3 linked regions of the Oryctolagus cuniculus genome follow. The protein of the gene in region 1 interacts with the protein of each later gene in a biochemical or structural test. Links are inferred from orthologs where the notes say so. Each region holds a gene or a part of one and is shown on either strand. Other genes may lie near its edges. The genes, in order: STAT1, MCM5 and PRKCD.

Region 1 (3,642 bases):
TTTCCTGAGAAGACGAGGACTCAGGGCATCACTGTGACAGAAAGCAGTCCCGCGGCTGCACGGGTGGAGAGAATTAATCCATCTTATTTCCTCAAGGTCACCAGGCATAACGGTGATGACGGAGTTGGACTCTCACTGCCAAATCCCCAACACAGGCCCCTCATCCACGGGCCACGCTGCCTCCTCTTAGTACACAGAGGGAAACGCTTCCCGAGGGGCGCACGTTTTGAACAAAGCAAAGACCGGCTTCTTGCAGGAGGCTGCCCAGGGCGGTCGACGCGGCTCAGTCGACGCGGCTCGAGTACGCTCCCCCTGGGTGGACACGGAGCCCTCCTGTCAAGTGACGCAGCAGGGGGAGGGGCTCTGAGCATGGGAACAGCAGCCGCACCTGAGTCACCAGGACCAGCTGAGTCCCTGTCCCGGAAGTGCCCCGCACACCGCTTAGGAAGTGTCCCATCAGGGGCGGCGCTGGGGGGGACGGAGTCACCCCACAGGAGGCTGCTGTTTTGTTCTTTGCCAGCTCTCAGATTTCCTGAGGGGGGCTTTACGCTGGCTGTGTTTTTGTCCAGGCGTAACAGTGCCCCACAGAGGATGCTGGGGTCCCTGGAGAAAAGGGTCATTCTACACTGGCCAGCGGGAACAGGACAAGCTGCTCCCACACTAGCCAAGCGCTTTCCTAATGACCTCATTCATCCTCAAGATGCGGGAAAGGTTCAGACACGCGACCTCCAGGCTTTAGCCCATGCTAGAGCAAGAGCGTCCACAGCTACTGCCGAGGCTGCCCGGGGGCAGCGGGCATGGCCGGGCCCCCGCCCACTCTCTCCTCCTTCCCCTCCCCCCTGCCTTCCTCTCGCGTTACTGAGCGCACACATTCTTTACTGGGGACCAAGTACACAGTGAGGAAGACAGACCAGGAATGACTCACGCAGGATATTTTTTTTAAAAAAAAGCAGGGACCAAAGGTTTAAACATGAACTGGCATAGCTCCATGTGGAAAGGAGCTTAAAATCAAAACAGCATCAGCAAAAACTCAGCCAACCAAAGGAAACCTCGGAGAGGCAGGATTTCAGGCTGCAGGGCACACAATGCACTTCCCTGGTCGCTTGGAAAACCATGCCCCCAGGGAAGATTCTCTTTTGTGTGGCCAGTCCTGCTCTCTTCCCCATCATGGAGCTCATTAACTGTTTCAGTCCTTGAGCTGCTTGCTTCTGCACAGGCCCCTCCTGGGTCCTGGACGCCGGGCAGCCGCGCTCTGTCACTACTGCTGGCGAGGTGTAACCCTGGGAGCACCCCACTGCACGCCTCGCTCCCTTCCCACTCCTCGGGGACCCCGGGACGCGCTCGGGCGGACGGACGGGGTTTTCCCAGCAGAGAAGTGGCAGTGACATTTCTACAGGGACAGCACCACAGGCCGAGGGCGAAACTCTGAAATGGCACTGACGTCCTGGAAGGTGCTGAATGCCAGGACCACCACCCCTTGGCAGGCACACACTCACCGAGGCTGGGGGCCCACCTGCCGCGGTACTCACCATACTGTCGAATTCTACAGGGCCCATTATCCGAGACACCTCATCAAACTCCTCAGGAGACATGGGCAGCAGGTTTTCTGTGCTCTGGAGTCTAGAAGGGTGACTACAAGGGGAGAAAGGAAAGGGAGATGTTACGGTCGACCATTAGGAACGCGGTGGTGCGAAGGGATGTGCCTGGCTCTGGTCTGTGATTGGATTATCACTCTACATGTTTATTTTGGGGACGTTTCTACACTTGAAAAGCATAGCTGCAAAAGTACAGATCATATTGCGGGAGGTGAATGCGCCCAGCCCGGCCCCTGGAGGAATGTATTGGCCTCTTGAGATGTGAGCGAGCAGCAGCCAGCCGGGAGCTTGCGGCCTCTGCTCTGGCTACGCCTTGGCGTGAGCTGCGAGTGTGTCACCTCAGGTGACCGTGCCTCGGGGCTTGCCCTGGACAGAAAAGCACCAGAGAAGTTTCTGGGGAGTCCCTCATCCCTACCTTGAGGTTTGTATGCAGATAAAGCTGCTCCACAGAGTGGTTTTACATGATGGCTATACATCCATTCACCCCAAGACAGTGCTGCACGCCAAATAACTGACAATGACTTTTCCAAAATTTTTTCTACCTTTTACAAAATGAAACAACAAAATAAAAGCAAGCGGAGAAAATGTATCTCAATCATTACTTTGGCCTTTTCTAGATTGAAAAGAACTACTTTCTCACTCTGATCAATTTTTGTTCATTTTATTTATGCTGTTTCAAAGGATTCGTTTTGGGAGAATTTATATACCTTAAAGACAACTTTGTTTTTGTTTTTGTTTTTGTTTAAATGCAGTAAAATGCTGGGAGTCAGTGACACTGGGATCTCTAGTTAGGATCTTTCCATCAAGTCCACCTGTGAAGGCGATAGCAATTTTAATGGAAAAGCGAAGTACAAGCATCTTCAGCAGGCCCCAGCCAGGAGCAGGCTGGCTTGGGTTCTAAACATGCCACTCTTCCGTGTGCACTTACACTTCAGACACAGAAATCAACTCAGTCTTGATGTATCCAGTTCCTTTGGGGCCGTCAAGTTCCATGGGTTCTTGCCCTAGAAGCAAACACATCGTGTACACTTTGCGTTAGAAGAAGTTACACGGTGAAGGATCAACTGTTTATGGATCAAAATGCCACTGTTGTCCCGGACAGCTTAGAGGCCTGTAGCTTTTAAGCACGATGACCTCGCTGCCTGGGTCACCTGGAATTCCAGCGGGAACCCATAAGCAACTAGAAGAAAACGGGAGGAGATCTCAGCAGCAGTCTAACTGGCAGCCCTCTCTTTTCAAGTTTTGAAGTCCTACATGAAGCTGGAGCCCTAAAACACACAAAGGTCTCTGATCGGGTGGTGCTAGCCTGGCGGATGCATTGCACAATTATCAAGACAGCATCTTCACTCCAAAGTTACTGTCCTGATATTGAGATTTCTGACTCAAAACTAATTAGCCTTGTTGGTGTGTTCCAAGCCAGATGGGTCTTACTGGGAACTTTCCCGAGCACAATTCAGGGCTGACCGTGGAAGCAGATCTGTGTTCTAAGACAGGTCTCCTCTTGATGGTAAGCAGTAATGACGACAGGATCTAGTGACTAACTGGGTCAGCCTGAATCAACCACTCCACGCCTCCCTGGCCTCCATTTCCTCAAGTTTAACACGAGCAAGTTGGCCACGTCCCCTACACTTTACCGCTTTCCACGTGGAAAAAGTGATGTGTAACAGATACACAAACCACAAATGGACATTTCCAACACCCCTAAAATAGGAGATTAACCATTCGTTTCTCACTGACTGTATCAGACCAAATAATGACTGTACTTCAGCTGCACTGAGCTCACACCACCCTGTGCATGCATGCATGCAGCCTGTAGCAGTTCAAAGGGAGTGGGGGGTTCATGTCACAGGCTGGGTGGAGCCTGTGCTGGCTCCTTCCCCTTGAAGACAAAGGCAGTGTGGCTGCTGACGCTGCCGGCGAGCCAGCCCTTCAGCACCAGGGGACCGGGGGACCGCGTGTGCTGCTCTCCTCGCAACCCCACTCACCTTCCTTTGGCCTGGAGTAATACTTCCCGAAGGCATGGTCCTTGTCAATATTTGGATACAGA
Region 2 (3,742 bases), on another chromosome or scaffold:
GGAGCCGGATTGGGCGCGGAGCAGCTGGCCTGCAATTAGGGCTGCAGGCGTCGCAAGCGGCACCCTAACCTGCTGCGCACCACCTGCCCCTTTGCTTTGATCTCAGCTCTTAACTCTGCCTCATTTTTGGAGAGTTTGCAGGGTCTAAGTGGGTAAGAGTGAGACCTCCAGGGGCTGGATCTGGGCTCTGGCACTGATGAGGTAGAAATGTGATAAAGTAGCTTTAGAGAATGGGAAGTTTATTTCTGTCTGACATAAAAACGTGGAGGTCTGTGGTGGTGGACGGGTGCGACGGTTCTTGCTCAGCTGTCTCGTGGTCGGGGCGGCTGCGGGAACTCAGCCATCACCACCACATCCTAAACAGCGGGAGTGGACGGGGCAGAAGGGTTCCCCTTGCAGGGCGCGTCCTGAACTTGCCACGTGGTGCTTGGACTGAGAGCCTGCTGGCCGCACGTTGGTCCCACAAACACGCGTAGATGCAGGAGAGGCGGGGGTGCTAGACTGAGCGAGGGCCCTGTTAGGAAGATCGGGATAGCTGGCAGTGCCCACTGCAGTCTTACCCCCTAGGGCACGCACCTCTCAGGTGCCAGTGGCGGGCAGGGGAGGGACGCAGGGCTGAGGCCACCCCGCGTGTCTCGTTGGCGCCCACAGGCAGCTGGAGGCCATCGTGCGCATCTCCGAGGCCCTCAGCAAGATGAAGCTGCAGCCCTTCGCCACGGAGGCGGACGTGGAGGAGGCTCTGCGGCTCTTCCAGGTGTCCACGCTGGATGCCGCCTTGTCCGGCACCCTGTCAGGTGAGCAGGTGTGGGCTCCCTGGAGCCGTGTGGCAGGGCCCCGGCGCGCCGCAGGCCTGCACAGGGCGCTGCTGCCCTGCGTTCGCTGGGCTGCTCTGAGCTCCCTTCTGGCAGCAGCACCTACCTCCCTGTGTCTCCCCAGCCGCCCGCCTCCGAGGGGAGGCGGCCGCTTCTGTTGGACCCCTGGACACGTGAGACCCAGCTCAGGAAGAATAATTTTAATTCTGTTAGAATAACTGTAATTCTAGTTAGAACGTTTGTCAGTCCCCTTTGTAGAGCTCAGAATATTTTTAGCTGTGTCCCTAATGTGGTTAAGATTTGTCTTATTTATTTGAAGAGTACACACAGAGGGGGATGGGGGGGAGGTCTTCCATCCACTGGTTCACTCCCCAAATGGCCACAACGGCCAGGGCTGGGCCAGACCACAGCCGTGAGCTTTATCTGGTCTCCATGTGGTTACAGGGGCCCAAGCATTTGGGCCATGTTCTGCTGCTTTCCCAGGCTCATTAGCAAAGAATTGGATCAGAAGTGGAGTAGTGGGAACTCAAGCTAGCACCCGTATGGGATGCCGGCATCACAGGCAGCGGCTTAACCCGCTGCGCCACAGCCCTGGCCCCTGGCCCTTGTTTCATGGTGCCTAGGCTCGTGAGCTCTCACTCTAGAGGGGGAGATGCAGTAAGGAAGCAAATGGGAATTCATGTCGAGGTTAGGTTTGGGGGCAAATGATTGCAGAGCCAAGTGTGTAGGAGGAGGGGCGCTGTTCTCATCAGCTGGTCCAGTAGAGTTAGCGGGGCCTCGGGAGCTGACCTGTGTGAGGGGAGCGCAGGTGGAGGGAATGCCAGGTCAGCAAGCCGGGGAGGGAGTGGCTTGCCCATCGGGGAGACCACCAGCAGCCCAAAGTGGAGAGTGTGAGCCTCTGCCTTGGGGGGGGGCTCCGGGCACCTGCCACAGCTCCAGGGCAGCTGGCTCCCCTGGGAGATCCTGACAGATCCCTCCTGGCTCCCCTCAGAGATCACTCCCAGATCCCCTGCTGGCTCCCCTCAGAGATCTGACAGATCCCTCCTGGCTCCCCTCAGAGATCACTCACAGATCCCCTGCTGGCTCCCCTGGGAGATCCCTCCTGGCTCCCCTGGGAGATCCTGACAGATCCCCTGCTGGCTCCCCTCAGAGATCCTGACACATCCCCTCCTGGCTCCCCTCAGAGATCCTGACACATCCCCTCCTGGCTCCCCTCGGATATCCTGACAGATCCCTCCTGGCTCCCCTCAGAGATCACTCACAGATCCCCTCCTGGCTCCCCTTGGATATCCTGACAGATCCCTCCTGGCTTCCCTGGGAGATCCTGACAGATCCCCTCCTGGCTCCCCTCAGAGATCCTGACACATCCCCTCCTGGCTCCCCTGGGAGATCCTGACAGATCCCTCCTGGCTCCCCTGGGAGATCCTAACAGATCCCTCCTGGCTCCCCTGGGAGATCCTAACAGATCCCTCCTGGCTCCCCTCAGAGATCACTCACAGATCCCCTGCTGGCTTCCCTGGGAGATCCCTCCTGGCTCCCCTGGGAGATCCTGACAGATCCCTCCTTGCTCCCCTCAGATCCTGACAGATCCCCTCCGGCTCAGACTTGCTTCAGGACTGGCTCCTGCTGCCCCGGCAGCTGCAGGGTCCTGTCTGAGGTCCTGTCTCCCCAGGCCGTGCTTGTTGCTCCCGCAGGGCCCCCTGGCGGCTGCACGTGGCAGTGCAGAGTCGGCCTGCTAGCCTCTGTGCCTCTGCACTGCTGGCTCTGGCTCTCAGGCCACACGCTTCCTGGGGTTAGAGGCTCTCCTTAGAGCGGGCAGACGCCTGGGCCCCGTCCACCTTGCCTCTCGCCCGCAGGGGTGGAGGGCTTCACCAGCCAGGAGGACCAGGAGATGCTGAGCCGCATCGAGAAGCAGCTCAAGCGCCGCTTTGCCATCGGCTCGCAGGTGTCGGAGCACAGCATCGTGCAGGACTTCATCAAGCAGGTGGGCCTCCGGGGCGGCCGTGGCGGCTGGTCCCGGGCCAGGGCGCGGGGGCTGCTCCGCTCCACGCAGCTCCGCGGGAGCAGTGGTTCTTGTCTTGGCCCTGCAGAGAGGTGGCTGGGTTCCCTCTCGCTGGCTTCTCACGGTGGGGAGCAGAGTCGAGTGAGCTCCCCGCTGCTTGGGGAGGGTGCTGTTGACCCCGCAGAGAGGAGATGGGGCCTTCCAGATGCCGTGCGCCTGAGGGGGCCTGTGTGGGAGGTGGTGGCACACCTGGTCTACACAAGTGGGGCCTGGAGAGGTTGGGGAGTCAGGCGCCTGAGTTGTAGCCACAGGACTCGATGAGGTTGAGCTCTGCGACCCTCAGCAGATGACTTAGCCACTCTGTGCCTCAGTTTCCACGCCTGTAGGCGTGGGACTAGCGGCTTAGGGTTGCTGGGGGTAGATGAGCTCTTGGGGGAAGAGTCGGGACAGTGGCTGGTGTGCTGTGGGTCTCAGAAATGCCGAGCCTTCCTGGGGTCAGAGGGGAGCACGTGGGAAAGGCGCCCGGGAACAGGGGGTGTGGGCTCCCTGGGGAGGCACGCCTGCACCCAGCTGTGTCCCCACAGAAATACCCGGAGCACGCCGTGCACAAGGTGCTGCAGCTCATGCTGCGGCGGGGCGAGATCCAGCACCGCCTGCAGCGCAAGGTCCTCTACCGCCTCAAGTGAGCCCGCGCCTGCTGCTGGCTGCCGCCGGGGACGTCACTGTCGCCGCCGTCACCACTGTCACCGCCATCGCCGCCGCCGCCGCCCCGCCGCCACCCTCGCCGCCTCCAGCAGCTGCCTCTGGCAGTTCCGGACAGTGTGCATTTGGAATCTGTTGGGTTAATAAAGTGTTGTGTGCTTGGGCGTCTGGGCTGCTGCTGCACGTGGTGGCTCACCCGGGTCTGCCGCGTGGGCTCCCGGACAGG
Region 3 (3,742 bases), on another chromosome or scaffold:
CTCTCCAGCCCAGACCCCCCCTCTTTGCACTTGAAATGGGATTGAGTTCCATGTCTCTGCCAGTGCTATCCATCCCTGGAAGTCTCAGTGGACAACCCGCTCCTGACAACCCTGCAACCCACCTGGTCTGGCCTCTTCTCCCTGTCCCTCCTCCACAACCTCAACCCAGGTTCCTCCCCCCTGAACAAGGAGCCAGCCCCTCCACTGCCATCCCATCTCCCCCTCTCTGCCCCCGCTCATCCCTTCAGGAGCACACTTGAGCTTGTCACTCACCACTCTCCCACTGCACCTTAAGAAGCTCAAAGCCCTGGCCCAGCCTGCCTCTGCCACAGGCCCCTTGCTCAGCTCAGGCCTCTTCAAGGACTTGTCCCGCTCGTCCATCCCTCAGGCCTCAGCCGCATGGGCTGTCGGGACTCTGGCCATTCCCTCAAGGTGATGGTGGTGCCCGCCCAGAGCCCAGGAACCTGGAACTCTCCTTCTTGCCGCTGGGAAGCGACATTTCAGGAGAATGGACTTCTTGGACCCCAGCTGGCCCCCAGGCTTTGGGGCCAGGGGACACTTGGTGAATGAATGAAGGAACGGGTGAGTTACAGCTGACATCCGAGTTCCACGTGTGAGAAGGACGCTCAGAGGCCTGCCAAGGCCAATGGGCAGCTCCGGAGGGTGGGGGCAGCAAAGCGGGAGGCGGGGAGTCGGGGCAGGGGCAGCTCCTCAGATATCCGACAAGCAGAAAGGGCAGCGGCACAGCCTTGTCCTGGAGTCCTCCCAGCTCGGTCTTTAGGGCAGGGCAGGACAGTGCTGGGCCGGCAGGCCTGGCGGCGGGCTCTGATCCCGGCCGTGTCCGCGCTGTAGCCAGCAGCAAGGGAAGGAGCGAGGCCAGACAAGGCGGGCCAGCTGATCGGTGGGGAGTCCCGGGCGTGGGCGTGCGGACCCGGGGAACCCCCGCGGGCGCCTCCCGGCCGGGGCGTGGTATGACCACCACGGACCTCCGTGTCCTCCTCAGTCGGGGGGCCGACGTGCGTGCTGGCGGCGAAACTCGGGCCGCGGCGGGCCCCAGAGGACGGCGAGGGCAGGACTCCAAGCGACCCGCGCCCCGCGGGCTCCCGTGGCGGGGCCTCGCACGGGGCGGGGCCTCTCGGGGCGTGGACTTCGGGGGGCGGGGCCAGGCCGGCACCTGGGTGAGGTCGCCCCGCCCCGCCCCTCGCACTTCCGTGTGCCTCGGCGCGGATACGGGAGGTGGCGGCAGAGCGCCGGCTCCCGGAGCGACCCTCGGCGTCCCTCGGTCCGCGCCGAGACCCGGGCCGTCCCGCGCCGAGCCCGCTCCGACTCCGTCCAGGCGCGCCCGGGAGCCAGAGCCCGGCGCCAAGACCCCTGGCGCCAGCGCCCCTCAAGAGGTGAGTGAGAGCCCGGCCGGGCGAGGGATCCGGGCTGCTCCGGGACGCGCCGCCCCTCCCTCTCCTCCGCGCTCCGGTTCCCGTTTCTGAAGCTGAGAAACTGAGCTGTGGCCGGCGAAGGTCCCGCCGCGGACGGCTCCCGGCCTCCACCCGCGGGTGTGCCCGGCTCCTCCGGGCGTCGGTCCGTCCCCCGGCCCTCCAGGCCGCCCCCTCGATCTTGCCCGCCCGGGGGCCGAAGCCGGGCCACCCGCCGGGCTTCCCCTCCCGCTGCTGGGTCCCGGGGCCGGCGCGACCCGCGGCGCCGCCTCCTGGCGCCGGCGCGAGTGATCGCCGCAGTGTCTGTCTCCTGCAGGCTTCGGGTGGGGCGACCCCTCCCCCTCCTTTCACCCCCGGGCCCCCTGCCCGTCCAGACCCTTCGCCCCTTTGAGCCCCCTCTTCTGGTGGCCCGGGCCTGGTGAGGTCGGTCCCCGCCCCCCAACCCAGACGCCACTCCCCTTGGGGGGCCCCAGCCCGCTGAGGGGAGGAGGTGGATGAAGGAGGTGAGGACTGCCCCCACCTCTGGGCTCCATCTCTGGGGAGGGGAGAGCCCCACTGAGCATCCCACTTAACCCGGTCACTTCTCTGCCCTCCCATAGTTACCCCTAGGCCTGAACCCTTGTCTCTGCGCTCGCTCGCTGTTGCCTGCATCAGGGTGTGGGCGTGTGTGGTGAATCTCTGCCTCCTTGGGAGGTCCACGCTGTCTTTGTCACAGTGTGTGTCTTGTGTTGGGGTCAGTGTGTGTCTGGCAGTCGTGTGTTGCAACACCCCATGTGTCATGGGGACCCCCTGGCCATGAGAGTGTGTTAGATGTGCTAGTTGTGGGAGAGCCTGGTGTTGGGGTGCCGGCCTGCCCCGCTCCTGTGTGAGAGTGTGCGTGTGTGTGTGCACTCACGTGTGGCTCTTCCTCTCCCTCTGCCACAGAGCTGCCGTGCCCAGGCTGACCTGGTCACCAAGGGAGGGGACTGGTCCCTTGGGTTTCCTCCTTCCTGCTGTGGACAGAGCTGGGGTGTGGAGGACAGGCCGGCAGAGGGCGGCTGTGCCTGTGTGTGTGATGTGGAGGTGGCTGGGCCGCCGTTCCTGGCAGCGTGGTGATGTGAGGCATACGTGTGACAGGGCTGCGTGGGGTGGTATGGGAGCTGATGACTGGGGGGACACTCAGAGTCTGCAGGAAGCTGCACACGTGTGCTTGGGGAGTGACCGACTCGGGGGGACTGAGAGTGGCTGGGCGTGGGTACCAGCGACAGGAGGGGGTGTGACAAGGTGTGTGGTGACAGTGCGAGGAGGCAAGGTGAGAGCCTCAGCGTGTGAGCCTGGGGGTGGCCTTGAGTGTGTGTGTGTGTGTGTGTGTGTGTACAGGCTGCACATGGGAGCAGCCCTGGCTCCTGGGGCGGTATAGAAGGCCCCAGGCAAGTCTCGGGGTTTGTAGTGCAGTCCCCAAGCCTCAGAAGGACGCGGCTGAGCCCTTGCTGTACTCATTCAGAGCAGGAGACCCAAGCCAGGCCTCTCCCCAGCTTAGTGTCCGTCTCTGCAGCACGCAGAGAGCTGGGACAGCTACAGGTCCCAGGGCGCACCCCACAGCGGGGGTGTAGCACTTGCTAAATCTCACCTGGTGACCGCCCCAGCCCTGTGGTCCCCATTGGTCCGGGAGCTGGGGCTAATGAAAGCCCAGATAGTCCCCGACCTAATTTCCTGCCCATCCCTGGGGAGGGAGCTGCCTGCCAAGGGAGTATGGGGTTCTGTTCTGCCTGCAGGATGGCCCCTGCCTCACCAGCCCCTGCCCCAGCAGTGATGGGGGGAGGGTGCTGGGAGGTGGTTTGGCTGTGTGCAGGGCGCTGACATCATTTAGCTGGCACAGCTAATTAGAGTTTAAATTAAAATTAGAAATAATTTAAAGCACAGACAAAAAGATAATGCCCTACGGTACTTCTGCCCCCCCAGGGGTAGTGCTGAGGCCTCCAGCAGGGTGGGGGCTGCCCTCTGGGGTGGGGAGTCTTTGTGGAGATCTGGCCTGCAGAAGATGTGCTCAGCCTTTCAGCCAGGAGACCCAGGGCGCTTTTCTGTCTTCGCCATTCCTTCCTTCTAGGATAGTAGCTCCAGGCTCAGTTTTTTCAGCTTTATAATGGGCAAGATAATAAAGTGAGAACCACCCAGTTCCCATATTACTTTGGTTGTAAGGTACTAAATAAGTAATAAAGAGTTACTGTTCATTTTTAAACATATGGCCAGAGCTACGTTTATCAAAATTTTTTTTTAAAGATTTGTTTTATTTATTTGAAAGAGTTACAGAGAGAGGGAGAGACAGAGAGAGA

What was found.
Region 2: the proteins of STAT1 (region 1) and MCM5 form a complex in vitro, tested with the Homo sapiens proteins (2 studies listed by BioGRID). The link is inferred for Oryctolagus cuniculus from reciprocal best matches to the Homo sapiens genes STAT1 and MCM5.
Region 3: of the proteins of STAT1 (region 1) and PRKCD, one has a biochemical effect on the other in vitro, tested with the Homo sapiens proteins (2 studies listed by BioGRID). The link is inferred for Oryctolagus cuniculus from reciprocal best matches to the Homo sapiens genes STAT1 and PRKCD.

Annotation. Positions count from the first base shown.
Region 1 is NC_091434.1:49,332,846-49,336,487, reverse strand, and holds part of STAT1 (signal transducer and activator of transcription 1-alpha/beta), read right to left. Parts: coding exon 3,581-3,642; intron 2,600-3,580; coding exon 2,524-2,599; intron 1,633-2,523; coding exon 1,530-1,632; intron 1-1,529. UniProt on the Homo sapiens protein: Signal transducer and transcription activator that mediates cellular responses to interferons (IFNs), cytokine KITLG/SCF and other cytokines and other growth factors.
Region 2 is NC_091442.1:112,980,058-112,983,799, forward strand, and holds part of MCM5 (DNA replication licensing factor MCM5), read left to right. Parts: intron 1-651; coding exon 652-794; intron 795-2,668; coding exon 2,669-2,796; intron 2,797-3,398; coding exon 3,399-3,500; 3' UTR 3,501-3,742. UniProt on the Homo sapiens protein: Acts as a component of the MCM2-7 complex (MCM complex) which is the replicative helicase essential for 'once per cell cycle' DNA replication initiation and elongation in eukaryotic cells.
Region 3 is NC_091441.1:96,637,574-96,641,315, reverse strand, and holds the start of PRKCD (protein kinase C delta type), read left to right. Parts: upstream 1-1,193; 5' UTR 1,194-1,394; intron 1,395-3,742.